4 linked regions of the Drosophila melanogaster genome follow. The protein of the gene in region 4 interacts with the protein of the main gene of each other region in a pairwise test. Each region holds a gene or a part of one and is shown on either strand. Other genes may lie near its edges. The genes, in order: Argk2, Cpr56F, 7B2 and bab2.

Region 1 (6,964 bases), 7.9 Mb from region 4:
GCAATAGCGTTAAGCCAAGCGTGCGTCTGTGTCTGAGAAAAGAGTGTGTGTGTGTTCTAAAATAAGGATCCCAAAACGAGATCCTTGAAGAGCTAAAGCTGCATTGTGATTTCATTTTACCTGCAAACGCAACCAAACATACGAAGATTGGTTTTTTCTATATACAAAATACCGACTTTGTGACCAAGCAAACGCCAAATTTTTAAACGTTTTTTGAAAACTTTACATCAAACCCTACAAAAAAAAAACACCACACGCGAAATGGGTCTCTGCGCCTCCAAGGACAAAAAGGAGAAGGTGATCGAGGGCGAGGTGGCCAATGGCGAACCCAATGGTACCGCCACGGCAGCTGGCGCTGGAGGAGATGGGTGTGTATCCCGGAGTTCCGGGCTCTTATATTCAATTTTTTTTGTAGTGGGCCTACGACTCCTAGACAGGAGTTGTCTGTATATCCCCTGGTTGGGTGACCGACCGACCGAAGGGGGCTGACGTCATGTGTGTGTGTGTGTAAGTGCATGAACGCTGCTCTGTCGAAAAAGCGGCCAAAAATAAAGTGCCATAAAAAAATTATTATTGCCCTGGTCCTTCGTTTTGTCCAGGACTTCGGCTGGGTAGCCATGTTGTTGTAGTGCGCATGTCCTTCGACAGGAGGAAGGCAGAGGGCGGTGGTGGGTGTATAGTGTGCCGTCGATTTGCGTATTCAGCGGCAGCCGGCAAAATTTTATAGTCAGTCAGCCACCACCGAAAGCAGGACACAATCGAGAAACAAAACCAGAGTCACCACCACTAAAAAAGGGGCGTTGTGGGATCAAGGGTGATGGGTGTTCGGTTCTGGGTACTGCTTTCTGGGTGTAGCGAGCTGAAGGGGAAAGGGAGCGTGGGTATATGTGGCAGTCGCGTGCCACAGACCCAAGTCGAGTATGAGCACATGGCCATAACCCGAAACTAATTGCGGGGCAAACAGGCAGGAATTGAGGAAAACAGAAACACAAGAAAACATGTTGCCGACTTTTGGGCGCCACAAAATGAAGATAGGCGAGTCCTTTGTAGCAATAAAATGTTGTACTGTCGCCCCAGCCACGCCCTTTTACTAATGGTCAATACCCCATTCTCTCCTTCTCTCTACGTATTTTTGCAGCAAACAAGACACCATGGTTGATGCCGCTGTTCTCGCTAAACTGGAGGAGGGTTATGCCAAGTTGGCTGCCTCCGACTCCAAGTCGCTGTTGAAGAAGTACCTGACCAAGGAGGTCTTCGACAACCTGAAGAACAAGGTCACGCCCACCTTCAAGTCGACCCTGCTGGATGTGATCCAGTCTGGCCTGGAGAACCACGATTCCGGCGTCGGCATCTACGCTCCCGATGCCGAGGCTTACACAGTGTTCGCCGACCTGTTCGATCCCATCATCGAGGACTACCATGGTGGCTTCAAGAAGACCGACAAGCACCCGGCCTCCAACTTTGGCGATGTGTCCACCTTCGGCAACGTTGACCCCACCAACGAGTACGTGATCTCCACTCGCGTGCGTTGCGGTCGCTCCATGCAGGGATACCCCTTCAACCCCTGCTTGACCGAGGCCCAGTACAAGGAGATGGAAAGCAAGGTCAGCAGCACCCTGTCCGGTCTGGAAGGTGAGCTGAAGGGCAAGTTCTACCCCCTGACTGGCATGGAGAAGGCCGTCCAGCAGCAGCTGATCGACGACCACTTCCTGTTCAAGGAGGGCGATCGTTTCCTGCAGGCCGCCAACGCCTGCCGCTTCTGGCCCAGCGGCCGTGGCATCTACCACAACGATGCCAAGACCTTCCTGGTCTGGTGCAACGAGGAGGACCATCTCCGCATCATCTCCATGCAGCAGGGTGGTGATCTGGGCCAGATCTACAAGCGTCTGGTGACCGCCGTCAACGAAATCGAGAAGCGTGTGCCATTCAGCCACGACGACCGTCTCGGTTTCCTGACCTTCTGCCCCACCAACCTGGGCACCACCATCCGTGCCTCCGTGCACATCAAGGTGCCCAAGCTGGCATCCAACAAGGCCAAGCTGGAGGAGGTTGCCGCCAAGTACAACCTGCAGGTGCGCGGAACCCGCGGTGAGCACACCGAGGCTGAGGGTGGTGTCTACGACATCTCCAACAAGCGTCGCATGGGTCTGACCGAGTTCGAGGCCGTCAAGGAGATGTACGATGGCATCACCGAGCTGATCAAGCTCGAGAAGAGCCTGTAAATTGCCCGCCAACCGCCGAGCATCGTCCCCCCGGCTGGAGGTGCATCGCCTCCGGAGTTAACATCTATCCACGGGTGCCACCAGTTCGGGGCATACGCAACAATCAAGAACAACAACAGCAACACTTAGAAATCTTCGGCTCGTCCGCCTTGTCGCTTTTGGGCGGTTCGAACTGCAAATATGTCTAGTTTGTAGCTATGGTGTGGAGCTGCTGTCCCAGTCCGGCAACCTTCGGCATTTTCGTATACTTTGAGGGTCGCGGGCGCAGGCAGGGATCCCATCTTGCAACACCATCAACACCTACAGCAGCAGCAGCAACAACGGATAACTATTTGACAAAAACATTTGCTTAATTACAACCAAACAATGTAAAACATTTTGACATCTGTGTCAAGCAAAAACAAAAAAAGGAACTTTAAATACTTTTATTTAAGTCTTAAGTTTATAAAAGAATTAAAATTATTAAAAAAAAAATAAAAAAAAAACTTAAAACTCAATGAATGTTTTGTATTCAATGGATATAGAGGACATATAGGGTATACAAATATTTAGTTTATTATTTATTTAGAGTTCATCACGGCCTTTAACCTTTTGTACACTTCACGCTTTACAACTAAGCTGACTTTGCCTTACACTCGGCTTCTATGAGACCCTTGATTCCATCGTGCATCTCTTTGATGATTTCGTATTCGGTTAGTCCCATCCTGCGTTGGTTGGATATATCGTGCACTCCGCCCTTGGCCTCTGAGTGCTCGCCCGAGGTTCCTCTGATTTGTAGACGATACTTGTCGGCCAGCTTTTTCATCTCGTCGGGATCACACATTAGATTGGGCAGCTTGATGTGCACCGAGGCGCGAATAGAAGTGCCCAGATTGGTGGGACAGAAGGTTAAAAAGCCAAGTCGTTCATCCCTGTTGAATTGCAGCTGCTTGCCGAGAGCCTCCACGCCGCCAACCATGCGATCGTAGACCTTGCCCAGGTCGCCACCCTTCTCCATCGAGATGATGCGTATGTGGTCCTCCTCGTTGCACCAGACCAGAAAGTTCTTGGCGCTATTCAGAAAGATGCCCCTTCCCGTTGGCCAATATCGAGAGGCTCCAGCGGAAGCCAGAAATCGATCGCCCTCCTTGAACAGATAGTGATCCTCTATGAGCTGCTCCTGTATGCATTTATCCATTCCAGTCAATGGCATGTATTTACCCTTGTACTCTCCGGTGAGGCTAGTCACTGCCCCACAAATCTTACTCTCCAGCTCCATGTAGTCAGCCTCCGTTAAGCAGGGATTGAAGGGGTATCCTTTGACGGCTCTTCCGCAACGGACACGCGTGGATACGATGAAATGGCCATCGGGATCTAGGTTTTCAAAATCCGCGCCTTTGCCGAAAGCAGTCGCCGGCTGTTTGTCCGTCTTCTTGAAGCACTTATGGTATTCCTCGATGACGGGATCAAAGAGATCGGCAAACACCTTATATGCCTCCGGATCGGGGGCGTAGAGCCCAACGCCGGAGTCATGATTGCACATTCCCGAACTGATGCAGTGCAGCAGTGTGGAGTTGAACGAGGGTGTAGTCTTCGTCTTTAGCTTCTCGAAGATCTCCTTGGTGAGATGCTTCTTCAGCAGGGACTTGGATTTCGACTCGGCCAACTTCTTGTAGCCCTTCTCCATTTGCTCCATCACCTCCTTGTCCACATTTCCTTTGCTGGCATGGCGATTGATTACTAGCTGCGCACAGCGGCCTAGTAATTGAAGTTCAAGCCGGAGTTTTAAATGTAACAGCATTTTTAGGTGTTGAATTTGGAATGACACCGGCCAGGCTGACCCTAAGTTAGAAAGTGACATTAAACCAAATGGCTAGAATAAATCTAGTAAAACGCCATTTAGTACGAACAAAAAACAGACGGTTGAAAACTCCACTTTAATAGATATCGGAAAGGAGATTGCTAAGCAAAGACTCAATCTATGTACAAGTAAATTTGAAATAAATAAAGTATAAAGTAAATTTTGATATACTTGAGTTCCTCATGGATTTAAAAATTGTTTTCACAACTATGGTTTTGCGCTAAAGTAAAGAAATCATTTTCATTGATACTTTTTTAAAGAACCGTTATATGATATTCACTTAATGGTTTTTAAAAATACAATAATGCATTTAAGAAACAATTTTGTTTGATAGTGTACTCATATAGCACGGCTCCAAACCATTGTAAAATACATGGCAAATGTAAAATATTATGTGTAAAATAATGCGTAAAATATGTAAAATACAGGGAAATGCTTAAGAAATGTATACAAAACCCATCGAAAATTGGTAGCTCAAATACTGGTTTTAAAACACTCAGTTCTTCTGTTTAAATGTAGACTTTCTAAGATATATATTACTAATGTAATTATATAATATGTTTAATACGGGTGTAGAAGCCATCAAAACCAAAAACTATGTTTTATTTCCTTTTGACTTTTTTTATTTCAATAAAATACTTAGAACATTATAGAAAAAGGTGTGTTAATTATGATTAGTTTTCACAATCCACCTCGACCTGTTCTCGTTCGCACAATTTAATTGAATATTTGCAAGCTGTTGGCTCGTAAAACAGAGAATGCGAACATTTTTATAGCTTAAAGCTTAAATACCAAATCAAATATATTATAATTAGCAATAAAGAACAACAAAAGCGGCAGCGGCAACAACAATATGCTAACATGTGGCGCAAATAAAATTCAGATCCGAACGGCAACACCTCCTCAATAAAGCATCGTTATCCTCATTATCATTATCAACAGCTTCGAACGAAAACCGGATTTGGATTTGGGCATGAGTATTGGACCAACCTACACATAAAAATTCATTAAGTATATTAAAACAAGCGCAAATTAGAAATGCAATACCGGAGCGACTTCGATTTCCATTTTTATCTCATAATCTACGAATTTTGACGCTTTTTGCCACCGTTTTTTCAAAAAGAAGCCAGCAGCGAGTCAGCAAAAAAACACCTAACATTAAAAAAAAAAAACACTTCTGAGGCACAGACGCCGACAACGAATGTGATTTGATGTTGTTTTGGCCCCTTTTGTTTTTGGGTGAAAACGTGCAAATCCCATAATTTAATTGTTTCAGCATTTCAAATGTAAATTTATGCACCAACAAATCCAATCGAAGACGAGGAGAAACACAAAGCGCTAATACAAAACTAAGCCCAAATTAGTCAAAAAGCCGCTTGAAACGCGGCTTCGTGTGGCTGGTGAATTATTTCGCGCTGATTTGGCTTACATTATGCATAATATATGCATCGATTTCTATGAATGGAAGCCAAATCGATTCGTTGCCCCTTTGAACTATCCGCAACGACTGGCTAGATAAATTCTCTGTGGTCCCATCTCCTTCTGGATGCACTTAAAAACTTAATTAAAAATATTAAACACGAAATGTTTGGCGCCACCGTTTAGGAAACGCTCAAAAGTGGACCGCACACATCCACGGAGCGCCGAGTTATCAGCTCAATTATGCAAGCTGAAAGGCAGCCGCCGGGCCACAGACAGATTTGTCGCATTTGACACGATAATGCACACAAGGAGTGACCACACCAAAGTCTCTCCAACCGACTCGGCATCGGTTTCTGTTTCGGTTTCTTGGCCAGCTCCCACTTCGTTTTGGCCTGGCCAATGGCCATAAAAGGTGCGATAAAACGAAAATTTCACAAGACGGCAACAGCAGCAAGTGCACTGCAAGAAAAGTGCTTCGATTTTGAAATGATCAGATGAATGTTGAATTTTTCTTTCTTTAAATTTACTTTAAAAACCATTTCTATTAGCAATACCATAAGCCAAAACTTACTTAGTTGAATTGAAATGTGTGATACTTTTTTTTCTCCGTGCACCCACCTCTGCGTCATCTCTGTGTCCCAGGGATGCGGATGGAATCGCAGGGGAGCTGGGAGTCGGCAAAGACCAAACAGCCTGAAAGCCGTCAAATCGCTGCTCATAATGGACGCCTTATCTTTGGAGAATTGCTTTAACTACTACCGGAGTTGGATGTTTTTCAGATACGTGTGACTCGAGAACCGACTGGTCACCATAATGGAGAGCATTAATTTGTCTTAGGCCCGCCAAAGCGGTCGCATAACTGCTTTTGGCCCAGGCACTGCGATATGGCCAAAAACCTGTAAAAACGGAAACGCTGAAGGTTACCGTTGCTCCCCCCCCCCCCGCAAATAGTTTTGCATTTTCTACGGATTCGATGTCTGATTTGTTTATTTTGACCAAAGACTCTTAAAACGAATTAACAATGTATATGATTGCAGCTTGGTTCTTAAACGATCTTATATGTAGCATAGATTAGCTTACAAAGTATATGCACACGTTTCTCACTAATCACAACAGAAGATGACTCCAACTTAAGTATGTTTACCAAATATTTCTTTCAATAGGCCAAAATGGCTGAAATGCTGAAGCTATTTCTTTTCGTTGAGGTTGAAGGCCTTGGTGATGTTGTGGGTGTGCTGGAGCCAACGGGTTGCGAGGCCACAGGACTAACAGGCGCGACAGTTGGCGCATATGTGGCTGGTGGCATTGGCAGAATCTGCGGAGGAACTCCACCAAAATAGGCAGCTGCAATGCTGGGCGGCAATCCGGCAGCTCCACTGGGTCCATAGCTCAAGTGATGGCGGAGATACGGCGACATAGGATTGGCAACTGGATGAGTTGCTCCATAGTAAGCTGGCGAAACACTACCCGTTGAGTCCTG
Region 2 (9,106 bases), on a different chromosome or scaffold from region 4:
TGGGCCACATGGTTTTTGTGGTTCCGGCGGACTCCGTGGCCACTGGGGCATACTATTGAATTTACCGCATATCTGGAAGACAATGAAATGTTAGCTTGAGTGGTTTCCTCTTAAGGAATTCTGTATTACCAGGTTCTTCTCGAGCTGCACGCTGATTTGTTTACGGAATTTCGTCACATAAATCTCGCTGATTCCTCGGTTTTAGGCATAGTAAGCACGTGTACATTGCCCACTGGCTCAGAGACAACAACTAATCAACATAAATACACTCTTATTCGTCCGATTAAGCTATTAAATTTAATAATTTTGTCAATGTTTTGCAGATTTTCTTAAAGTTCCACATGCGCAGTGTGACCGTATGTCGTAGATTATAGGGCAGCATGCGGAAGATACAAAAATGCACGACACAGCAGTGTGGCTGCATACGACTTTACAGTTAAAATGTGGTTACCCTAGAAATAACGTATTTTCGAAAATTGTAAATTGCTAAGCGTTTTATAAGTTGCATTTATTCAATATTCTTGAAATGCATACGCACTTAAATAAATAATAATTACATTGAAATGTATTCTTAGTTAGATTTTCTATAAATTATTTTGCAAATTAATGCTCTTATAACACTTTCACTTTTTATGTGCATCTAAAAGCAAAACCAAAGTTGAGCCTTTGCCAATTATTCGCTCATCCGTTGTCAAGGTTGTGTGCATTTGATTCTTTTTTATTTTTGTCGGCTGGATACGTGACTATGTAGTCCGAAGATGGAACAGATGCAGTCCAATTGGTGTCAGACGAACAAGGTGCGTGTCCGGCATGATAAATATTGCAATGGTTCCAATTGTTTAATATAAAAATGAGCAAATCCCAAATATTGCACCGCAGTTTCAATCGAGCCGTTCATTAAAATGGTGACAAAGGTATGATGTGGCTATTTAATAAACATTTTTACGTAAATCTTTTTGGCATTCCTAAAGTTGCTTCTACTGCTGCCATTTGTGGCCATTGTACAAGCTGAAGTGGATTTTACCGGTGGACGTATAGCACCTTATGCACCAACTGGTTGGCATCCGCAGATTCCATTCAACTTACCCAACGAGTATGTGCCTGCTATCCGATCAAGTCAGGGAGTAGAAATCACAAAGGCACGAGTGGACCAGTTCGATCCAGTGGAAAAGCCCCAGCCAAATTATTTGCCTCCAAATCAACTGGATATACCCGAGGAAGAGATTTTGCCCACCTCACGACCGTCCAACAAGTACGGTCCGGCAGATCCGAAATTTAAAATCATTTATCCTGATGATGAGGAGCCAGTTACTGCAAAAAATATCGTAGACAATCAGCAGCCCAAAATCAGAGAGGGACGTTACTTCGTCATTTCGCAGGACAATAAACTACAAAGAGTTTCTTTCAGCTCCCAGCAAAACGCAGATGCAGATGCAGATGATTTTACGGCTCAGTTGACTTACTCCACTGTGGGGCAACTCAAGGATCCTGTGTATCGATACAACAGACAGGGACAACTGGAGCGGGTCCTGAAGTAGGCAATTTGGATATAGCTATTTGAATATGTAAAATAGAGTTGTGCAATGTATTCAATTCTCAGAATGAATTATCTTGTTAATTATAAAAACAGTTTGGTTTTTCTTTTTGACTTTGTTTTATACAAAAATGCTTCTTTATTCATTTAATAATTATTAAATATACACAAAAATCTCATAAGTTCGTTTCACTTTCGAATTTCCATTTTCGTTTAAAAACTAAATACAATCCTTATGCATGTATGTATGAATGCGTAATGGTCATGTTGTGGGTGAATGGTGTGTTGGAGTGTGTGCGTAGACTAACACAAAATGAAGGCGCTTAAACAAAACAAAACGGCAAGGAGTTCCAGGTGTAGAGACGGAAAACAGGATAACGAACAGCAGTGAAACGGAAACGGAAAGGAACGCGCCTGTCTATGGCAAAATGGCGGGCGTCCCACTAAGGGTATGCACAGAGATGGGAATAGGGTTATATGGATAGACTGACTGCGATCGCTGGCCCACTGGCTGGATGTGCGTTTAATACTCGGCCAGCGATCCCATGAAGTAGACGAGTATAGTTGCGGGGTCGACCTAAATCGGGTATCCTCACTTCCCCATCTTAGTAGCCGTTGAATTTGCCCTGCTGCGCGTTGCTATCATAACCGCCACCGTTGCGACCATTGCCATTGCCGTTTCCGTTGCCATTGCCGACCTGCTCGTACCGAATGGTTGGGCGGTATCCATTCTGGTCGGCCTCGTACTCAACAATCTGTTTGCGTCCATCGGGCAGCAGGACGTAGTAGCGGCCCACAGCAAGATCACCATCGCGGGACTCCATGTGGCCGAAGTCATTGCCCGACTCGTAGTCCTGTACGTCGTACTTGAACTCGTACTTGGCCGGTCCATACTGCTCCTCATCCCGTTGTCCGTAGCCGTTGCCGTTGCCATTACCGCCGCCATAGCCGCCGTTTCCGTTTCCGTTTCCGCCCTTGAAGATGGCACCAGTCAGCGCTGGAGCACCATATTGACCCTGGGGAGGAGCGATGGGGGCGCCATAGCTGTTGCTGGGCGCTCCTCCATTGCCACCGGCCCGCTGGGGTGGCAAGTAGTTGCTCGACGGCGACTGGTAGCCCTGCGTGGGCGGCAGGTAGTTGTTGGACGGCGCCTGAGGCGACTGATTGGGGGGCAGGTACTGGTTCTGGGGAACTGGTGGTTCCGCATGGGTCCAGGCAGCCAGGCACACGAGCAGGGCAATGGATGTAAAAGCCTGGGAATGAAAATTCAGGGTTGCATTTACATTACAGTTTTCGTTTTGAGTTGACAACCCTTGATTGAACACTCCGTCCCTGACAGCTGTCATTCGAAATTAAATAAGTCCTATTGTTAAGCTCTCGTGATTTTGACTGATTAAATTAAAGCTTAAAAGAAGCAGCTATGACCGATTCGGACGAATCTTCCTGGATTCATTGGTTTTGCAAGCAGCGTGGCAACGAATTCTTTTGCGAGGTGGATGAGGAATATATCCAGGACAAGTTTAACCTTAACTTTCTTGATTCGAACGTTAAGAACTACAAATGTGCCTTGGAGGTGATCCTGGATCTTAATCCGGGTTCAGCTTCGGAAGACCCCGCTGAACCAGAACTGGAGGCTAGTGCAGAGAAACTGTATGGCTTGATCCATGCTCGCTTTATCCTAACCAACAGGGGCATCGAACTGATGTTGGACAAGTACAACAAGGGCGAATTCGGCACATGTCCACGTGCATTCTGCCATAGCCAGCCGGTGCTGCCCATTGGTTTGAGTGATAATCCTGGCGAGGATATGGTACGCATCTATTGCCCCAAGTGCAATGATGTGTACATTCCCAAGGCGTCGAGACATTCGAATCTGGATGGAGCCTTCTTTGGCACTGGATTCCCTCATATGTTCTTTATGGAGAAACCGGATGCTAGGCCCAAGCGGGCAAAGCAGAAGTTTGTGCCCAGGTTAGATCTTCCGTTTCCTGTGTTTCCTTCTATTTCCCTATGTTTTTAAGGTAGTTACTAATAATGTATAACTAATGTAACTATGTTTTCCCAGGCTTTATGGCTTTAAAATCCACCCCACGGCCTACCGTACTGCCGCTGAGATCCAAAAAGATGTGACAATGACGCCAGTAGGAGAAATCGATAGCCCATCCCACATTTGATCCTAAAGCTAAAATTTCTCATAAGCAACTGTCGCGTACTTCTCGAATAAGTGGGCACTGTTCGCCCGGCTGGCTGCCAGCTCATTAAACTCTCATAACAATAACTGCTCAGGCTGTGACCCGCTTGACAATCTTTTGTTTGGATTTGATGGCCTGCGAGCAGGCCCAGAATTGGCTTTGTCTTTCCCATCTTTACAGCATTTAGCTGAGGCATATGCAAATCTGTAGTAATTGGGTCCCAGGTGAAGCTCCCATCGGATTGGATTGGATTTAGCTGGGCTGCAAGTGAAGGGCTAATCTCGTGATCTTGCGCAATGCGTCTGAATCTTAAGTATTCGCCGTGTGGCGCGGACAACCTGTGGGAGAACCACTTCGGCTCACTCTTACACAACTTATTTCCGAATCTTGTGCAAAAGATCTTCTGGCCGAGTGTTTAGGCACAGGGCCGTCAATGACTTTCATGCTTCATTGGCGTTAAAATGCTATGCTTTTTGGCTGCGCTTTTGTCTGTATTTTTTTTTTATCGCCGCCTGGTCATCTCCAGACTGCCTTACTTGGGCATGTCCAGTAGTTCTTCTTCCGCCACTTAAAGTTTCTCTAATTTATTCATTGCAAAATGACCCCAAGCAGCGGCAGCTGTTGTTGCTTCTGTTTGTTACCCACACCCTAGAAATGAACTGGGATCGCTGGTTGCAATTGTTTCCCAGGCGAATGATATCGGTGTTCTAATTCCGCAACCTACCATAAAAAACAGTAGCTATCCTAAACAAATTGATGGTAATCTTAACTGCGATGATGATGGCAACTTATGAAATTTATTATGCGGATCTCCGCTTGATTAATCACCCAGCTGAACTTGACTTTTAATATGGCTCAAATATTAATATTTCATGTCTTTTCCTTCCGATTAGCTGATTAAGTGCTATGTGAGACAATGAAAGCTTCATTAGTTTGATGAGTTGTTTAATTGATTGATCGATCTATTGCCAAAAACGATTTTAAATGAGGGCTATTGATTGGATACAGAAAAATGAATACAAAATTCGAACATATTTTAGCACCTTTGCAATGCAGAAAAAGATATGGGCAAATATTGTGATGTTTATTTGATCATTCTAAGATTTTGTAACCCAACGTTGTTTGTATGTTAGCTACAGCAAACTTCAATATCCTTTGAAAATTTAACAAAAGGTCGAAACTGTATCTAATAAAGGACCTATATTGAATGATCTTTATAGCTATTCAAGTTTTATATCCTTTAGTCATATCGTTTCCCGAATGCCGAATGAGGCATTGTATTTCGTTTTGGCTGCCCATATCCTTTTGTGAGGACTTTTTTTTTTCACACAGCACACCACTTGGCACTTGACTCGAAAGTTCTATTCGGCTATATACCTTCATTTTGTGTTGTCACTTGTTTGGGATTTTGGCACACACGAAAACGGTTTTTGTTAACTTTGCTCTGTTGGCTGTGTTCTTCTTGCGAAGATGGTTGACTTGATTGTGATACTGAAACAATTTCGTAGGCCAGTATTTATATTTGAAATGAGCAGCAGCTAACGCGGCGGCGTCGACGTCGGCTTCAAAAAATTGCGCGCCAAAATGTGTGTGTTTTTTGTTCAGCTTAGTTCGTTATTTCAATTTTCGGTTAGTCGAGAAAAAAATGAGTGCCACAGTGCCGAACGAGCACTTGAAAAACATTACAAAATAATGCAAAGCACACGGAGCTGAGGAAGAGCAAATCGCTCTCGGTGGTGCTGCCGAGAAAAGAGGGAAATCGCTTGAGGTGGATTTGTTATAGTAAACTAGTTACTTTGGAAATTAAAGCGCCAAACATTTTGACGATGCTGACTTCGTATCTGCGGTCGGGTTCGGCAAATGAGCGAAGATGAGTGCCAAACATTCAAACAAATGAGACGAGGGAGTACCGCGCTCCTGCGGCTGCAGGCCATAAACATTTGTTGCCGCTCGTGTAATAGCAGAAACACTTATTTGTAATGGAATTAGTCATGCAGCAGGCAGCGGGCAGCGACGTCGACGGTAGCGTCCAAAAGCCAAGTGAGCGGAGGCAGCTGCTCCACGCATCTTCATCTCGCATCGGAGGCTTCAGCTTCAGTCGTGCGGCAGCTTCAGCGGCGGCCGCCTCGAAAGGCGAAGCAGAAACAAAAGACTCAGGCAACGAACTTGCTGCAGGCAATGCTGCTGCAAATTGTTTCCCCTTAGTGCGTGGGAGTTTTCGCTGGGTTTTGCTCGGTTTTGTTTTTCAGCACAACTAATGAGCTGGATTATGCCCCCGACTTCACAAATGTGTCCGTTTGGATTGGCGTTGACATGGATTCAAGTCGGATAAGCTGCAATTGAGCTGTGAGCACAGCGAGGGAAAAAGAGTTTTAAGATACGTTATCTTCCTTGCTGGGAAAGATACGCTCTGGTGTCGAAAATGTTGATTGTTATTAAACTGAGCATTAGTAACGGCTTGTAGTTGCTTTGCGAATCAAAATTACCTAAAGATCTCTTCAACATTCATTTATGGGTGAAACATTGCTCCAATTTAAATGAGATCAATTTATTTATATATTTACTTTATAAACAAATAATTTGTAGAGAGAAATAAGTTTTAAAATAAACACATATTTAAAAAAAATAACATAATTTTTTTTTCTATTTGTCCATTTCCTGCAAAACGTATTGAAATGTGTATGCTCAATAGTTTTGGATACTTATTTATCCCATTAAAAAGTCGATTGCATAACAAAGGAAACTTGAACTCTTTAAAAATACTCGAACACAATACTTGACAATAGGGAAAAGTAATTCAATATTTTTATTGCCATATTCCATGTTCATTTAAACAGTGGGCGTAGCATCCATCACGATCTGCAAATATTTCTTTGGTCAATTGTCTTTTGGCTCATTGGTCGAATGCGTAGCAAATTAAAATTTTTATCATTTTGTTATAACGGACCCTGCTTATTTTGCGATTTGGCACGAGCTGACTTTCACATTCGATAATGCCAAGTTTATGAGTTGTAAATTTAAAGGCCGTGCGAAGCCACGCCCCAAATGAGCTGGAAATTAATGAGGTATTGAAGGGATTGAAGGGATGGGGTGGGATGGAATTGCTTCCTCGCTGCGTATTCCCCCAAGTGATTTTCTGCAAGTAATACTCGACCTTGCCACAGACCACAATAAAAATAAATTAGAGAATATACAGCCAAGCTTTTGTAATTACCAAGATCATTTGGAGTTATGTGTGCAAATATGCGAATGCGAAAAATTCAAATAAACAAACAGAAATTATAGCAGAGCAGTTAAGACTTGACTTCATAATGGCTAATATGAATCTTGAAATGTAAGCAAAACAATTAAATAAATAAACCTTCGTATGCCGCATTCCTTGTCTCGGAAACCAAAACTGAAATTCATTTTCAATAGCACTCCATGAACGACTTCAAATCTGTTTTCGGTTTTCAGTTTTCAGCTTCAGTCTTCTGCTTGTTTTTTTTTTTACGTTTGTAATCATTTTTCCAGCACATTAAAAAATCATTTAATTTCCTGCATCGGCTAATTTACATTGAACGTGCCAGACAGAGAGGCCATCTAGACGGAGTTTTGGACTTGGAGTTGTACATGGAGATGGAGATCGAGATGGAGAGGAAGCTAATGGCACCCAGCCAGGTGATGATGCGCCAAGTCGAAGACAATGACGATTTGTAATTTCTGATGGCTGCTCTAGAGCTTCGAGAGGGGCGGACCTTGAAATACATACATGTATCCGTATCTGTATCTGCAGATCCGAATCTATGTTTGCTTTGTAACCTAGAATGCTGACGAGTGGAGCGCCGCGAACGTGTAATTTAAATTAAACTACGATAATTTCTGATGCAATGCCCCCCCAAGACGGACAGAATCAATTAAGGCGTCTTTTGATGTAAATTGCGCCTCACTTTGAATATGCCGTGCCACTCTAGATGATGATATTTCGAGAGCGATTTTGGATTCGAGATCTCCGTGGCTCCGACTTCTTCGCACACCGACTGCATTTTTCGCCCGACGCGAAGGTCGCTGCCTTTTGCCAGAATCCGGAGTAAAAGTCGATTGACTCACACACAAAATTGCCAAACTTTGACATTTTGGAACCGCTCTAAAGTGAACTGAAGTGGATGTGAGTAAGCTGGGTGTGGATGAATTATGATACGGATGACTATAAGGAAATTGGGGGTCTCAACAACAGATTCTTCCGAGAACCTATTTATAAAGAAAGCTTACCTTTTATTTAATAAATTGAGAAAGCAAATCTGCTTAAAAAAGGCCATGAAATAAATCTATAATATTGTCGTTTAAACACCTATTTTCGTTTAACGTCTTAATTAACAACTTCGAAAATCATGTCGTCAGTTATTGATAACATTCCGTCAAGAGGCGAAGGCACGCGAAGGTCGCACCTGGGAATCTTTGGCGCTCATCCTCCGTGGCTCCACTCACCTATGGCATTTGAGCGATGGACCCGATCTCGATCGCTCTGCAACTCAATGGCTGTCATAAAAGACGCATTCACAGTGCACTCCATACTCCATAAAGTAATTACACTAACACACAGGTCGCCTTGTGCAGTTGGCCAAATTGCCAAATTAGTTGCTGCTAGTGCAGCACCATTCAGTGGAGCCCAACTCTCGCAGCTCTGGGCTTTTGGATCTCACTACTACTCGGCATAATTAAAACGTATGCGAAGCAATTAAACTTGAAACAGAACGGTGGGGCAGAAGGAGCTGGTCTGCGAGCTGTGGCACGGGCATTCATATGCGGCTAAATTCGGGCGCAGGCAGGGGAATAATGATTGATGTCGGCCTATACACTCCGAAAAAAAAATCGATGTTCTCAAAAAGTAAATACGTAAAGTTTAGACAAAGAACATGGCTTTTGATTCTGTAATTTAACTGGATAACTTTTAAACATTATGAGCCAACGAAATTGGTGTCTTCCTCAGAATGAAACACTGAATTCATTTATAATTATAGTCAATAAATTTTACAAATGAACGTCATGATTTTATGTCGGTTTTTTATATATTTTCATGTGTACGCACACGTAACCAAAGCAAATAAAAGCTTGTGACTAAACATTGCATTTTGTGGGCGATGGGAGCATGGGTCCTGTGATTTATTTACGGCCCCAGCGGTCATAAAGATGGTTCCCACTGCCAGTCAAGGCAACAATAATGATGGTGTTGCAGCTACCGAAAAATTTGCCTTTTGTTTGGGACTGGCGTGCAGCGCACTTTAGTCATTGTTACACAATTCCGGATTTGGTTTGAGCCACATTAGATGGCCGAAATCAATTGAAGAACCCTCGATGAATGCGTGCCACGTTTGAGGTTTGCCCCACAGGTCATCGGATG
Region 3 (6,913 bases), on a different chromosome or scaffold from region 4:
GTCATAGTGTATTTGTCTTACCCTAAAACCTCCGGACGGGTCCTCTAACTTCCTGCCTGTCCTCCTCAGTTTCACTTTCTCTAAATGTTTACTACCCAACATGTCCAACATGTCACATCACCAAACAGCTAATGATGCTCTTTGTTCTCGGTACTCCCGTTTACCTTGTTAGCCCCATCCTAATGGTTCAGGCTGTTTATCATACGAATACATCATGTAAAAACAACAGAACAACATCTTGGCATTTTCGCGGTTCTAACAGTTAGCCCTAAAATGACAACACGGTAAACTGTAAGCAACATACTTAAGTATCCCCCTCTGAGTAATCACAGTTCTGTACACAAGGGCCAGAGGTGCGGCCAGCATGTTCATTGTTCCTCAGACATCAATGTGTTCAATAAATATATAAATAAAACCAAACCCGACATATAACCTACCTCCCAAATGGTATCACACCACAACCTCAACCTCAACATGCCACAATCACCGACTACTGGTATCAAGATCAGCCATTATCCAAGCCCAAACCGTCAACCAATCAAATCGTTCAGTGTCACTAACCCAAAATCAACTCCTTCAGGGCCCCGCTAATCGTATTACTCATCCCCCATAGGTGCACATCTCCAAGGAGTACCTTCAGCTGGAGCCCATCGGATTGGTGTTCGTATTCTTCTTTGCTCTTATTTTGATAATCCAGTTCACGGCCATGCTGTTCCATCGATTTGGAACCATTTCGCACATCCTGGCCTCGACTGAACTCAACTTCTGCAAGAAGAAGTCTGAGGATCTGACACAGGACCAACTAATAGATAAGGTAGGTGGCCCGTAATTGACATTAATACAAATAATAAAATTATGATATTATTTAGCATGCTGTGGAGATCGTCAAGAACTTGCAGAGGCTGCAGGGAATCGATGGCGACTACGACAATGACTCCGGTTCCGGGCCAGATCGCATAGCCAGGCGGAAGACCATTCAAAATCTGGAGAAGGCGCGACAGCCACGTCGCCAGATCGGCACCCTGGATGTGGCGTTCAAGAAGCGCTTCCTGAAACTCACCGCCGATGCGGAGAACAATCCGGCCACGCCCATTCTCACCCGCCGCCTGACAATGCGGGCGGAGACCATCCGGGCACTGGAGGTGCGTAAGAATTCGGTGATGGCCGAAAGGCGGAAGTCCGCGATGCAAACTCTGGGAGCAAAGAACGAGTACGGAATCACAACTGGAGCACCGGTGAGATTAGAAAAGTTTTTGGAGAAATTTTAGATACAGGATCATAACTTCTTTAATGCATATATGTAGATTAACAACAATGGAGCTCTGCCGAATCAGCGAAGCGGACGTGTCTCGAATGCAGGCATCAGCATCAAGGATGTATTCAATGTGAACGGTGGTGGTGCCGAGGTAAAGGCCAATTTATAATCATAAAATATGTGTATTCTCATGGAAATATTTTGTTACGTCCGCTTACACTTGCAGCAGATTTACGGCTCGAATGGGGGCGGCACTATCAACCAGGGTTACGAGCATGTGATCGACGAGGACGGCGACGGCAACTCCCTGCGGCTGACCACCAGGAATCCCCATCCCCACCCGCACCACCAGGTCTCCTGGGGCCAGAACACCAACGGCGGCGGCGGTAATGGCACAGGTCGCCTGTGAAGGACCCGCCCATCCTAGACGTAGAGCTAAGTTAGACCTAGGTAACTTGTTAACGAATTCCGCCTCTTTCCATCAACTGCCTAAACTTAAGACTAAGCCAATACCTAGAATTGTAGTCAGAAGGAAGGATTGTGTTGTATAGTATGTATAGGGACGCGAGTGAGAGCCAGGACACTCTGGCTCAGAAGGATCAGGTCGTTCATAAGGCTTCATGGCAACAGAACGAACATTATGCTTAGCTAATCACACTGCCAGTGTCGATGTGTGCCAATAATTGGGTGGCTGATCGCCCACTGTGGCAGCAACATTCATGCGATGTACTATACTATCATTTGTTAGGTTATCTTTAAGTCAATACCCGCGTGGATCATCCGAAACACGCGGCCAGTGCATGCTGACACAAAATACTCAACGTGGAGCTGAACCGCAGTGGCCTATTTGTACACTCGACGACATATCGAGGATAGTTCTTTTTAAATGAATAATCATTGATGATTTGATGGATTGTAAAACTTTTTAAAACAATAAATAGAAGCATCAAACAGATATTCGATATTTCTCACTCTCATCAAACTTGGGTCATCCCAAGGATAAGCTACATCCGAACCCACCTTCGGTAGTGGAGACCCTACCCCAAGTTTAGACCAATACCCGCATATTTTCGGCTTAGAGCCCTGGTACTATACGAATAACTTTATTTTCGGGAAAGGGTAGAAACATTACTAGACATCGCTTGCGGGACAACATTGATAACCAGCTATGATAGATAATAGTATTAGACACCCATATGGAAACGTCGTGTATGCTCGCGTTATCAGCGAGTTACCTTAGTGGAATAAAAGGTTGCCCTTCTTGGCGGCTATGGGCAAGCGGTCGCCCTGGAGGAACGGGTTTATGACCGCGTCGTCCAGCCGAGGATCGGGCATCACAGGATATCCGGCCTTCTTAGCCAGGCTGTTAACGTTGTTCAGGCTGTTCTCCTGGCCCATCTGCATGATGTACTGCTCCACGGCGGAGTTCAGGTCACCCTTGTCGCCGCCCACATCAGCACTATCCTGTTCCGAGCAGTCGAACATATGCTCGTTGTCGCAGGTACAGTCCTGAGCGGCCTGGAACTCCCGGCTGAAGATGGCCGTGTTTTCGAAGTCGACAATGCAGCTGCCGCCTTGCGTCTCCATGTCGTAGCCCTCAGGGCAGGGATTAGGAGGGTTGCAGTAGGCAGGCAGGCCGGCGTCGTTCTTCACTATAGTGGGATACCTGTTGGGACCCTCTCCCATTCCGCCGGAGATGAACTGGTGACCCCACAGCGAACTGTGCTGCAGAAACTCGTCATCCCGCAGCGAAGGATGGGAGGCAGCTCCCGATGCCGAGCCCGATTGCAGGATGCAGTCGCTTCCGCCGTCACACAGCCTCGCGTACTCCGACCGGGAGACCAGGTCCACGTTGTCCTTGGAGCCAGCGGCTGCCTCGTTGCCCACGTCGTAATAGCCCACCTGCATGTCTTTGTCCATGCGATTCAGCAGATCCGTCATCAAGACATCGGCAAGAATATCCTTGGCGCTATAGGACTGCACCTGGTAGCCACTCAAGGCGACCACGAGCATCGCCACCATCATGTACACACCTGGAAAAACATGGGCTATTCTCTTACCTCACCCACCTATAAATATTACTTCAGCAGACTTACTTTGCGAACGGAACAACATATTGCGATTCCAAGCGGTTTCAACCGTCCACGTCGAAGTTTGGTAAGGTATTGATTTTTCGGCGGCAGCTGCTCCGATTCCGTGTATATACTAACGTGACGTAGGGCTCTGTGCTTCGTGCGGCGGCTACCAGTTGAATTTGCGAAATATACGCAGATCCAATCGAAGCTGCCTTATGGCAGCCACAGCTGAAAGGACGCATGCGCCGTACTCGAAAGCTCTTTTATGTTGAAGCAGTCCTGTGGGGGGCCGAGAATTAGATTAGCGCCAAACTGCTGGAGCTGAGGTTTTCAGGCCTCTTTAAGCTTTATTAGTATAAAATGCTGGAAGAAAATAAGAAAACTTAGTCGCTAAGAAAACTTTATTTTCTTGAATTGTATGACTAGAGGTTTATGTTACACGGTAATACGCTATAAATTTCCATTCCCTCCTTAATTTAAAAGTATGAACTATAAAAAATGACTTGAAAGTAAAACTGAAGGAATTTTATTTTCAATAAATTAAAAATACACTTATAAAAAAATAACATTGAACCGATACTCCATTGTCGAATATTATGGTAGCGAAGTAGTAAACTGAACTACTCAATTATGATTTATTTTTTTGACCTTAGCATTTACTTAGAAAGAAGGTGGTAATAATTGAGGGTTAGGTTGCCAATTCGATGAAATCGAATTCATCCTGCATATATTTGGCAAGGCGCTTATGCGGTGCTGTTTTTGTATGGGCCACCAAGCCTCGGCGAGTTATAAAATCCATGTTGCAAGGCTCACACCTAAACGCAAAAAATACGATATTAAGACATATGACTGCGCAAGCTGACAAGCTTACCTGAACTTTCGGATTTGCTTTGAGTGTGTCGAAAAGTGGTTCTGCAATTCGGAAACGCTGCTGAAGATCATTCCGCATTCTAGGCATGGATAAGGTCGTTCGTTCTTATGGGCTCTAAAATGAAATTGGAAGTTGCATATAGTGCTGCGCTAGCATTCAATTCCCAGCCTCCTTACTTGTCGTGCCGCAACTTAGCGCCCAGAGACGCGAAAGCCTCGTGGCAGATGGTGCACTGGAACCTGCGGTTAATTAAATGAACCTGGGTGCGATGCTGCTTGAGAAGCGCCTTCTTGTTAAAAGTCTGTGGGCACTCAGGGCAGGGGAAGAACTGGTTCATATCCCGCCGGTTCTGGTGCCCATTTAAATGCTCGGTGTACAGGAACGCATCGTGGAACAGGGTTCCACACTCGTCGCAGATAAAGAAGTTACTGCGCCTCTTGGCGGCCCGCTCCATTTCCTGCTCCTGTAGATCCTCCTGCTGCGCCGCTTCTGCTGCCGCCTCTGCTGCCGCTATCACAGCGGCAGAGGGGTCGTCATCCAGCTCGATTTCCTCTAGGTCTTGGTGTTCCTCTTTCGTGCCTTGATAACAAACGTACTGGTCGTCATCGTAGTGCGTCTCCAATTGATCCGCATCGATCAGTTGCTCGTCCAGCGGCTCGGAACTAAGCTCAACGTGAACAGTGCTTTGATCACTGGTCTTCTTTATGATATCCAGCAGGTACTTTTGCGAGAAGATGCACCGCTCGCGGAACTTGGTGGCCAGGTCCAGCTCGGAGAAGCAGCGCTCGCAAACAATCTCCGGCAGCCCCTGGTTTCTTGTCAGCTGAACAAATTCCAGGTAATAACAATTGTTGGCGCGGTCGGAAGCTGACATAACGACCTACCTCCACTCCCGTGATTAGCTTCAGTTGACCCAAATATTTTCCCCGCATGTGAATGAATATGTTGCGATCTCGCTGGTGGCCCATAATTTTGTTGGCGCAAATACGGCAAACGTCGGCGAGGTTCATTGTTTATCAAGTTAATGTGTTTACTTTTAGCATAAAACGCAGCGACGGAAAGTGTTACCAGATCATAAAACAGTTGGAAAAACGACAGTGCTTAATCGATTTGTTATCGGTGAATCCGATAGTCAGATACATTTTTATAGCGCAAAAAGATTTTTTATTCATTTGATTTTATTAATAGTTAAAACGATACAACATGCGCTTGTTTAATTTAGGTTAGAAGCTTGTAAATCCAAAAAGAACCATTAAAATTAAAAAATCAAATTCGATGCCCAACAATGCCATTGTTAACCAACATAGCCCCTGCAGCCAGTGATATACAATTTAAGTTAGTTTCGTTTTGTAAACTACTCCATCTATTATAATAAATAATTAGTTAAATTGTGAGATTCGTTTTATTTGCCGACTAACGATATTTTTGGGAATTGAACATGGGCGAAAATAGCGAATAACGAGCTAATCAATCGAAAGATTTCACACCCCTAGTTGCGCGCCATAATTTTTTGTGATATTTGCAAACGTTTTGAAGATATTTGCAGTTCACAAAGTACTTAAATAATCCGTGAAGGTCCTGTGCGCGAACCAAGACATTGAACATGTCCACCGAAGCGAGTGTGGCTTCCAAATGGACGCGCCCAGATGACGTGGGTAAGGACTCGGAGGAGCACCTGCCCGCCACTAATGTTGTTGTTTCGTTTTCCAGTTCATCAAACTGCAGCGGCTCAAGCAGAAGAAGAACAAATTGGCAGCCCGCGTGAGCAACAACAACAATAGGCGGCCAAGACACCAAGTGGATGAGACGGATAAAAGCAAGCTACTGGAGGCTAAGCTCGCCCAGAAGCGAAAAAATCCGTTTGCGAAGTGAGTTTCCCTCTCTCTCGCTCTCCCCAAAATCCAATTACTGACTCCCTGCCTCAGATCCACAGCTGATGCCAAGAAACTGCGCGTTGATCCGCAACTGGCGGACCTCGAACCAGTGGTCACTGCCTCCTCCTGCTTTGTGCGGGAAACGCCCACGCGCCCGGCGCCCGCCAAATTCGTGCTCCAGAAGTACGACCCGCAGGCCTTTGCCAAGCTCTTCCAGCATCCCCAAATCAACGCTGAGGACGAGGACGATGCGGAGTTGGCCGCCCGGCAGAAGCACACCGCCCACCTACCTGTGGACTGGTCCCTGAAGACGCGAGCCCGTTTCTTCTGTCCCACGGAACTGCCTGCCATCCAACTGAAGACCTCGCAGCTGGCCAGCGGACTCACCAGCTTCGTGCGCTGCATGGACCCGCAGCGAACGGAGAGCACGCTGGATATCTCGGACGCAACGCGGTTCAACCAATGCAATTACTACTGGCAGCACCCGCACCTGCCCTGGCTGACGCTCTACCCGCGCACCGCCAAGGAGAACGTGGGCGTGGTGGTGGGTGAGCGGGAGCGCAAGGCCCTGGCCGAGGAGTGGGACTTCAGCTTCCGGGGCCTATTTCAGCTGCTGCGTGCCCGCCAGTGCCCGTACTTCTACCTGTGTGCCAACACTTTTACGGTGCTGTTCCGAGCTGCCGGAGTTGGCGGTCGGCCGGAGAGCCACGCCTTGGTCACGCCGTCGACTCGGGGAATGCGGCAAGCTCTGCGACAGGAGGGGATCGAGTTCAGCATGCCTCTTAAGAGCGATAACAGTGGAAACGCGCACGACAACAGTTTTAACGAGGAGAGCACT
Region 4 (8,099 bases):
AGGGAAATAACTTTTTAATTTACCTTACTCATTTCTTTAGCAAGCAATTATATTTGTTAAGTCATGACTAATATCACTTGATATATCTTGTGTTACGAAAGTGTTGATATGATCTCATAATTATTAAAAGTTTGTATATACAATTACTCGGTGTTCTAGATTAAAACTAATATTTTCTTGGGATAAAAACATATGGTTTGAAATTTAGTTATTGACTCACCCTCTCTTCTTCGCGTATCATCTCGGCGATTTCTGGCTTGATCTCCATGTCATCGTGATGGGATCCCACCGCCGCGCCGGCTCCACTTCCCGCCACTCCTGTTCCTCCAGTCGGAGCACTGGCGCCCGATCCACTGCCAGATCCTGCTCCGCCCGCTCCCGCTGCGCCAGCTCCGGCGGCTGCGGCTGCCAAGGCGCTGGCCATGGCGTGCGAGTGGGCCAGCTGGTGCTGGGCGGCCAGTTGCTGGGCATGATGGTGCATGGCGGAGGGGGGTGGCGGCACGATGGCGGCCATGTGGGGCGGAAGGGCGGACTGGACGGCCACGCCCCCGGGTGGGGAGTGCATGGCGGCGCCGCTGTTCCCATTGCTGTGACCTGTCGCTGTTGGTGCTGGTGATTTCCTCTGGTTTGCTACTGCATTCATGGCGCTGTTCCTGCCCTCCAAGGTCTGAGGATTGGGGGAGGCGAAGGGATTGCGCACAATGGTGGAGGTGGTCATGGCCAGGGGTTGGCTCTGGCTCTGTCCCGGAGTGCCGGATGAGCCCCTCTCCGAGATCTCGGACTCTCCGCCCTGAAGGGATGGACTTGGAGTGGCGTAGCTGCCATCCCTGGACCGCTTCCTTTGTCGCTGATTCAAGTCCAAGACTCCCTCGGGCAGCAGTCTGGGCCTCTTGGCCTTCATCTCCTCATCGGGATCGGCATCACCGTCCTGCTGCAGAATTGCAGTGGCCGAGGCCAGTTCCTCCTCCTCGTCCTCATCGTCGAAGGCGGACATGGGAAGTGCGGAGGCGCCTCCCTCGCCCCTGCCCGCACTGACCTCCGCCAGACCCCTGATCTTCAGGGTTTCGGCCACTTTGAGCAGGGGGTTTATCTGATCCTGGCAGACGTTGATCTCCCCCTTGTACATGAACTCCACCAGGGCCTTCAGGTCGGACCAGCTGACGTCCCGCATGATGATGATGGGGTGCTGGCAGGGATTGTCGTAGAACAGGGCCTGGAAGTAGGGTGAGCAGGCGGATAGCACCATCTTGTGTGCCTTGATCGAGTGGCCTTCGCAGGACAAGGTCACGTCCACGAAGGACTCGCTCTGAAGGAGTTCGTCAAAGACATTGGTCAGGTTAGACTGATAGTTGTTCCACCTCAGGCAGAACTGCTGCCCCTCGCCGCTGGGAGGAACTATTTTGCGCCTCGGCGGTTTTGTCTCTGGATTGGTTTTGATCTTGGTCTCCACGGGAGAGGATCTCTGACCGAATTCAAAGAGCGCCGATCCGGCTAGCTTAAGATTTGGTTGAGGCTGTGGGGAAACTGGTAGGGAGCGCGACTTCTTGGCCTCCAGGCACATGCGCAGCTCGGTATGTTCGGGATCCCGGAGACCCACCACTTCACTGGAGGTCAGAGGTCGTGGTGGGGGAGTCAAAGCTTGGTCGTTCATCGGACTCGCCTTGGACTTCACCAGCTCCGTTTCCACATCCTTCTCGGGTGACTTGACTTCTCCAACGCTCTCCGTATCTTTTTGCATTTGATCAACCACCTCACTTGGATCCTGCAGAGTGGGTTCAACCTCCCTTTCGGGTGAGTACTTTCTGTTCTGGTCCTCTAGATGACCCAACTGGGGGGACTCTTCCACCATCTTAGGCTCTTCCGGTGGAGCCATTGTGTAGTCACTCGCCTCGAACTGATCGATTTCGCCGATCAGTTCCGACTTTATTTCAAAGTCCACAATCTGTTTGGTCATGTCCATGGTGCTGTTATAGAGTTTTCCTTCTTATCGGTTGTCTTGCAGGTTTTCTGCGGGATTTCTAACACATTTTCGGGGGCGAAACGAGAACTTTTCCTGGGAGCAGTTCAAAGCTGAAAGAGAGGAAAACTCACATGATTGTGCGAACGGGATTGACATATGTAACATACAATATATGGACAGCTAGTATGAAAGTCTTGTATACATTTAATTTGTTTCAATTAACTCGGAATAAGATATTTAACTGCCAATCAAAGAGAATGCTGGCTATAATATGGCTTTATCTTGTCTGCCACATTATTCCCCCTGCCAATCGAATATATTTTGGGATCTATAACGATAACGAACGTGGCAAGTGTTTTATTCACATCAAGCTGAATCAGCGGGCACATTTGTGCTCTTAGTCATAACTCTATTAAATAAGCCTATTAATCTTGCCCCATCTCCCTGCCAGTCGAAATTTCCATGAATTTCTATTAATTTATGTTTAGTATTTGCCAGCCACCAGCCGAACAATCGCCACCCACCACCCACCACCCAACCCCACCCACTGTAACGCCCAGGCCAGAAATGTGCTTTATTAGCTAAAAGCTAAGCACACATTTATTTATGTTTAATTTGGCTTAATTTATATTACTGAGCTGCAATTATTCGTAGTCTCCGCCGCTCATTGTTGTATTTATACGCACATATCTATATACATACATATATATATTGTATATATGCATATACATATATATTTATATATGGATGCGTATATAGCGGCTTTGTAAGTGTGTGCGCGCGATTATTGCTTATTTTGTATTGTTGTCTCTGGATACACTTGCATGCGCACAGCGCCCGTCTATAGATTTATATTTAATTAAATATTATTATTTATGGCAGAGCTCGGAGAGAGTGGGCCCAAAGTAATTATATTTATTTAAATATTTTGTATAATTTTAATTTATGTGTGTTTGTGCAGCACACTTGGGCTCGGTTCGCTTGGGTCGTTTTTGTCGGGGTGGAAAGTTGCTGCCGCCATGAAATTTAATTATATTTATTATTATTGTTATTATAATACTTCTTCTTGCTACTTTTTATGTTTATTATTATTTCATTCCAATTAAATCTTGCGGCCGCAGCTCCTCGGCGCCGTCCACAGTTATTATTTTTGTTTATTTTATTGTTGTTCTGGATCCGGATACGAATCCATGGACTCATCGTCGAGGGAGCTGAAGAGCTGAACAGCTGGAGAATTGAGGAGCTGATGAGCTACCCCGAATCCTCAGAGTTTCCCGAACTGTGGGCTGCGGAGGAAAATCGGTCCTACTCCTCTTCCTACTCCTGCTGCTCTTGGCAACTTTTGGTTTATTGTTATGGCCGCGCTCCGCCTTTTGTTATTCCCCTTATTTATTCATGTTTGTTGCTTTTATCGTGGCTGCTCGCATTAAATTTGATGATTCTTGGGAAAAACTCGGCCTCAAATAAATAAATAAGTAAATTGCCAAATGCAGAAGATTCGCACATCTCCAAAGTCGACACATCAAAGCTGATTTTATGATTATTCAAGATTTTCATTTATTTATTACCAAAGCCTGGCCTTAAATAAATTCAAAATTATGTTTTAGAATGAGTTTCAGTTTTTCGTGAATGTGGAAGCAAAAAACTAATTTTTTCCTTCATATACAATTATAACTGCTGACAAGTATCTGACTCGAAATCCTAAATACTTCAAACTCCCTGATTTCTTGCCTTTCCACACTCTTCTTTCCTGCTTCCTCGTAATATATTATTTTCGTTTAATTATTTATAGCAAGCGCAGCTGTTGGCAGCCAAAAAAATAAAACAGCAGGCAAGCTGGGCACTTTATTTATTTATTATTTCTGTATTTATTTATTTAATTCAGTCTCGAGGTTTTGTATCCTTAAAGTGGGCCCGCCCGCACACAAAAACGAACACAAATACACGTTGAGAAACGGGGGGGCGGTGTGCGGGCGCTCGGACACATTTATATATTGCATATTGTATTTATTTATTAACGCTTATTTATTATTTATGCAGCAAGTAATAAATTACAGTCTGGATTTTCTCGTGTTTCGCTCGGCTTTCGCTGTGTGCAAAATGTTTACAAACTGTTTTTGGCGCGTGCCACCCACTCGGAAAAGCGGGAGCTGTGGAAAGGCAGGAGCTGTAGGAAAAGTTGCTCCTTCGAGTGGGTTTTCTTCTTAATTTTCCTGGGCGCCCAAAAACGACCAAGCAACATTGCTTTTTACGACCTTTTCGCTGGGTGGCTTGTGTTATAAATTAATAAATTACAATTTCTTTGGTAGCGCCAAGGAAAATGCGCGGAAAATGTGCGAGGGGGTCTGGCGGGGATGGCATTTCCACTGGATAACTTATGTAGAATAGTACATGGTCGAGGTATAAAATCGATTTTCATTGCAGCCCAGTCATTTGTCATAAATAAAGCACCATAATTAATATAATAATCAACGCACACATACATTTTTCGTCTGGTATTCACTCGATGGGTTCACTTTTAGTTCACTTTCTTGTTTTATTAAATATTAACAGAATACTTGTGTTTATGTTCTGTTTGTTTTGTTCACTGCATGCAACACATGCTGTTCTGCTTGTCGTTGTTGCACGTCACTTGTTGTTGCTTTTGCTTTGCTGTCTTTGCTGCCGCTTCTGTCGTTGTTGTTGTTGTTGTGGGTATTATTGTTGTTGTTGCTGGCTTTCAGTGGCCGTAAAAACAAACGCTGCACTCCACTCACGCCGAAAGTCAGATACGAACTGAATCTCACAGATAAACGAACTGAATTTCAAAAAATTGAATGAAACTCGACGCCGCGCTGCCGACGTCAGCTGCGCTGCCCGCTCTCTCGCGGCGAATGAGAGCGCCGGCGTGGTGTTTTCCGGTTTTTGCGGCGAATTGGGAAATCGACAGAGCGGCGGTTTAAGAGCGAAAGTAAGTGTGCTCTTTGCTTTCTTTGTTTTGAATTTTCAGAGATCTTGCTTGAAAAAAAATTGAAAATTTCGAAATTTTTAGAAATGTTAGAAATTATAATTAAAATGAAATCGTGATTGTATAAGAGGAGAACATATTTTATTAATCTGGAATGCAATTGTTTTGTTATTTTTTTATACATTTTAGTACAGATTAATAGTTTTTTATTCGAATCATATTTCTCATCATAAAAAACATACATTTCACTACGATTTTTATATAATTGTCTAAGACCCAACGTTTCTTTTTTTTTTCGTTGTCACATAAATTTGCGAAAGTAGTTTTTACTATATCAACATACTTCATTTACAATTAAAAACGAATCATATTTATTATAATTAGTTTGAATACTTATTGAAATAAGTTCTCTTATTTATATAAATGCCATGCTTACCAATAAATCGCAAAAATCTTAACAAATCGCCAAAGCAGCATGCTAAGGTCGCGAAAAAATTGCAGCCTACACCTGCAACTTGAAGAGAATAGCAACAGCAACTTGCAACCTAGCTGCAGCAGCAACAACAACAGCAACAGCAGGGGCAAGAAAGAGAAACTGGCCAATGTCCAGTAAGAAAGTGTTTCAAAATAGTTGCCAACCCTCTTTCTTCTTCTTCTGCATCATCCTTAACCTCCTTGTTGTTGCTTTTGCTGCTTAGGCACAGAAACTATGGCAAAAAAGAGCAGAGAAAAAGTGGCGACAGCAACACACTCACAACTTGGCCACGCCCCTAAAAGTGCCGTAAGAGGGCGCGAGTGCGAGTGGGACAGCAAGCTGCTTGCTCCTACACACGCACACACAAGCCAGCATGAAGAAGGGGAGCAGAGCAACAACAAAAAAACGGCTGAAAGACGAGCGAAAACAAACGAAAAGCTTCGGCTGCACTCTCTTCTCTGCTTCCTCTTCCCCATGCTGCCCCGCGAAAACGAAAACTTGGAGGTGGCAACCGAAAAGAGCAAAAAAGAAAAGAGTACGAGGAAAAGCTGAAAGAAAAGGAGGCAAAGACGCAGCAAGTGCAGCTAGTGACGTCACGCGGTAGGCGGCGCCTATGGAAACGCATTTTTAATAGGAGTTGTTGTTGCTGCTATTGCAGCATCTATAGGCCGTTGTTATTGTTTTTTGCGCAGCCAATAACAACAACTAAAATAAATCCCCCTTTGTTTTGCGTTTGCCTGTGTGTGCGTGTGCCCGTGTGCGCTGTATTTGTGTGTGCTATTTTGTATATTTTGCATATTTTATTCCATTTGCCCTCTCTCTTTTTGACCTTTTTGGCATTCGGGCGCCTCCACGAGCCTCTGCGAACTTCGTGCTCGACGCCGATTGGCCCGACCACTCGAAATATATCTATATATATATATATAAATATATACGTGTGTGCGTCTGTGGGGGCCAAATACTTTTATATATAGATATCTGCATATATAAATCGGGGGTGCACACATGGGCTAAAAAACGCGTGGCAATTCGCAAATTATTTTTTGCGGCCTTCGTTTGGCGAATCGGCGGCAAGGTGCTTGGATTCTCCCCACTCTTTGAGGGTTCCCCTTTTTTTCTCGGGGCCTTGACATCTTAGGGGGGAATCCTTTTCTCGAAAATCCTACGCCTTTTTCTCTGATTAATACTGTCACCTGTCACCAGAATGTTTCAATGCTTATGTAGAAAGGAGAAAAGGAAGAATGTATTACTAAGGAGTCTTATTTATAGGATTGCATATTATGTGTAGTAGTTTTCTACATGTGTAACATGAAAAGATTTTTCAAATATGTTTAAACTATTAATATCGATCTAATTTTTTGAGTCTCAAGGCCGCAATAAAAACTTAAATAATTTATGCAGATCAAATTTAGTACCTGCGTAGGTAGCAGTGTGTTGATCAATAAAAACTTCATTTTATTGTTGATAAAAATTAGATAGAATTTGTTTTAGAATACGATTCGATGATGGATAAAAATAAAAATTTAAAATTTTCGAAGTTTCTCAATAAAAAATCTCGACAAATTTCTGTGTTTGAGAAGTCGAACTAAAAGAAGCAAGCATAATTCGCGATCGTGTCTTAAATAATAAACAATTTCAGAGGAGTATTTTTAAAAACTTAGCTTAGCATACACCTTTGCCTACCTATTTCTCCTTTCTCGATTTTTTTACTATTTTTTTGGTCAGCTAGCGAATTGGAAAAAGGGAAACGCGGCGGCTCTTTCGAGGCGGAAATGAAGGCCCTTTCCGCTTTGACAAGTCCGAAGACTTAGCCAACAGTTGTTGGAAAAAGAACGCGGAAAACTAACCGGTCCGCTGGGAAAGGAAACTAGCGCGCTTCCGTTCTCCAGAAAGGCTGCGATGAGGAAATTCAAAGTGAAATTATCGGAGTAGCGTGAAGAAAGTGTGTGGGCAGTGGCCGGGGCAACGGTGTGGAAACCACGCTAAAGGACCTTTAAAGGACATCCGCTGGCAAAGCGAAAGAGTTCAAATCTGCAGCCAACCAGCAGCCAGTGCTTAAAAAAAATACCGTCACACACTTGCAGTCAAAAGAGAAAGCGATTGCCAAAGAAATGGCGACAGGAAATGGCCAAAGCCACTGAAGGCCGGAGTTCGAAATTAGATTGTCGATGCTGCACAAATACCCTTAACAAAATGGCTAATCGATATCCCTTACATGGCATACAACATTGAAGACGAGTCTATCAACTCCTTCAAATCTTCTGGGATAAAAGTGTTTCATAAATCATTTTAACAAAAGCATCCATGATTGATCGATAGACCCTCTGAAAGAGGGCATTGATTTCAAATGAAAATATAAGTAAAGAGGCTCCTACCGTAGTCCACTGTCAACAGGAGCGGCAGGATCCAGAACGTGTGAGAAGGAGCTGAAAAAGGATGTGGGAGACGCCGGAAAATGGCTGGAAAGCCTTGCGCCTTTCTGCGGCCATCCATTAAAGTGGACAAAACCCCCTTATTCTTTGCCAGTTTTTCCAAGCTGCTCTTGAACGCTCCTCCAAGGCTCTTCAAGCTTCAAGCTGTCACTTAAAACAAGACGAAAACAGGATGAAATTCATACTGGGGAATAGAAGCCTTGAAGAATCGGGACTGAAAGCAAAAATAAGAAAGAACATCAAGAATGTTTGAAATTGAATGAATATACTGTGTGCAAAAAATCA

Evidence for each region.
Region 1: the proteins of bab2 (region 4) and Argk2 interact in a two-hybrid assay, tested with the Drosophila melanogaster proteins (one large-scale study listed by BioGRID).
Region 2: the proteins of bab2 (region 4) and Cpr56F interact in a two-hybrid assay, tested with the Drosophila melanogaster proteins (one large-scale study listed by BioGRID).
Region 3: the proteins of bab2 (region 4) and 7B2 interact in a two-hybrid assay, tested with the Drosophila melanogaster proteins (one large-scale study listed by BioGRID).

Annotation. Positions count from the first base shown.
Region 1 is NT_037436.4:9,044,534-9,051,497, reverse strand, and holds Argk2 (arginine kinase 2), read right to left. Parts: upstream 4,060-6,964; 5' UTR 4,003-4,059; coding exon 2,836-4,002; 3' UTR 2,774-2,835; downstream 1-2,773. Other genes in the region: Argk1 (arginine kinase 1), read left to right, coding at 1,139-2,222; Doc1 (Dorsocross1), read right to left, coding at 6,641-6,964.
Region 2 is NT_033778.4:20,286,725-20,295,830, forward strand, and holds Cpr56F (cuticular protein 56F), read right to left. Parts: upstream 5,222-9,106; 5' UTR 5,110-5,221; coding exon 5,104-5,109; intron 3,827-5,103; exon of another isoform or gene 3,709-3,826; coding exon of another isoform or gene 3,600-3,708; intron 3,506-3,599; coding exon of another isoform or gene 2,955-3,505; exon of another isoform or gene 2,821-2,954; intron 2,788-2,820; coding exon 2,140-2,787; 3' UTR 1,647-2,139; downstream 1-1,646. Other genes in the region: CG16868 (uncharacterized protein), read right to left, coding at 1-10; CG34199 (uncharacterized protein), read left to right, coding at 903-914, 972-1,538; CkIIbeta2 (casein kinase II beta2 subunit), read left to right, coding at 2,955-3,505, 3,600-3,708.
Region 3 is NT_033777.3:5,373,389-5,380,301, reverse strand, and holds 7B2 (7B2), read right to left. Parts: upstream 3,523-6,913; 5' UTR 3,371-3,522; coding exon 3,352-3,370; intron 3,304-3,351; coding exon 2,492-3,303; 3' UTR 2,327-2,491; downstream 1-2,326. Other genes in the region: kkv (krotzkopf verkehrt), read left to right, coding at 614-814, 870-1,235, 1,305-1,406, 1,482-1,664; CG14667 (uncharacterized protein), read right to left, coding at 4,019-4,145, 4,202-4,315, 4,378-5,024, 5,086-5,211; hd (humpty dumpty), read left to right, coding at 5,805-5,852, 5,912-6,069, 6,127-6,913. UniProt on the Drosophila melanogaster protein: Acts as a molecular chaperone for neuroendocrine convertase amon/PC2, preventing its premature activation in the regulated secretory pathway.
Region 4 is NT_037436.4:1,172,538-1,180,636, forward strand, and holds the start of bab2 (bric a brac 2), read right to left. Parts: upstream 4,740-8,099; 5' UTR 4,444-4,739; intron 2,071-4,443; 5' UTR 1,961-2,070; coding exon 221-1,960; intron 1-220. UniProt on the Drosophila melanogaster protein: Probably acts as a transcriptional regulator. Required for the specification of the tarsal segment. Also involved in antenna development.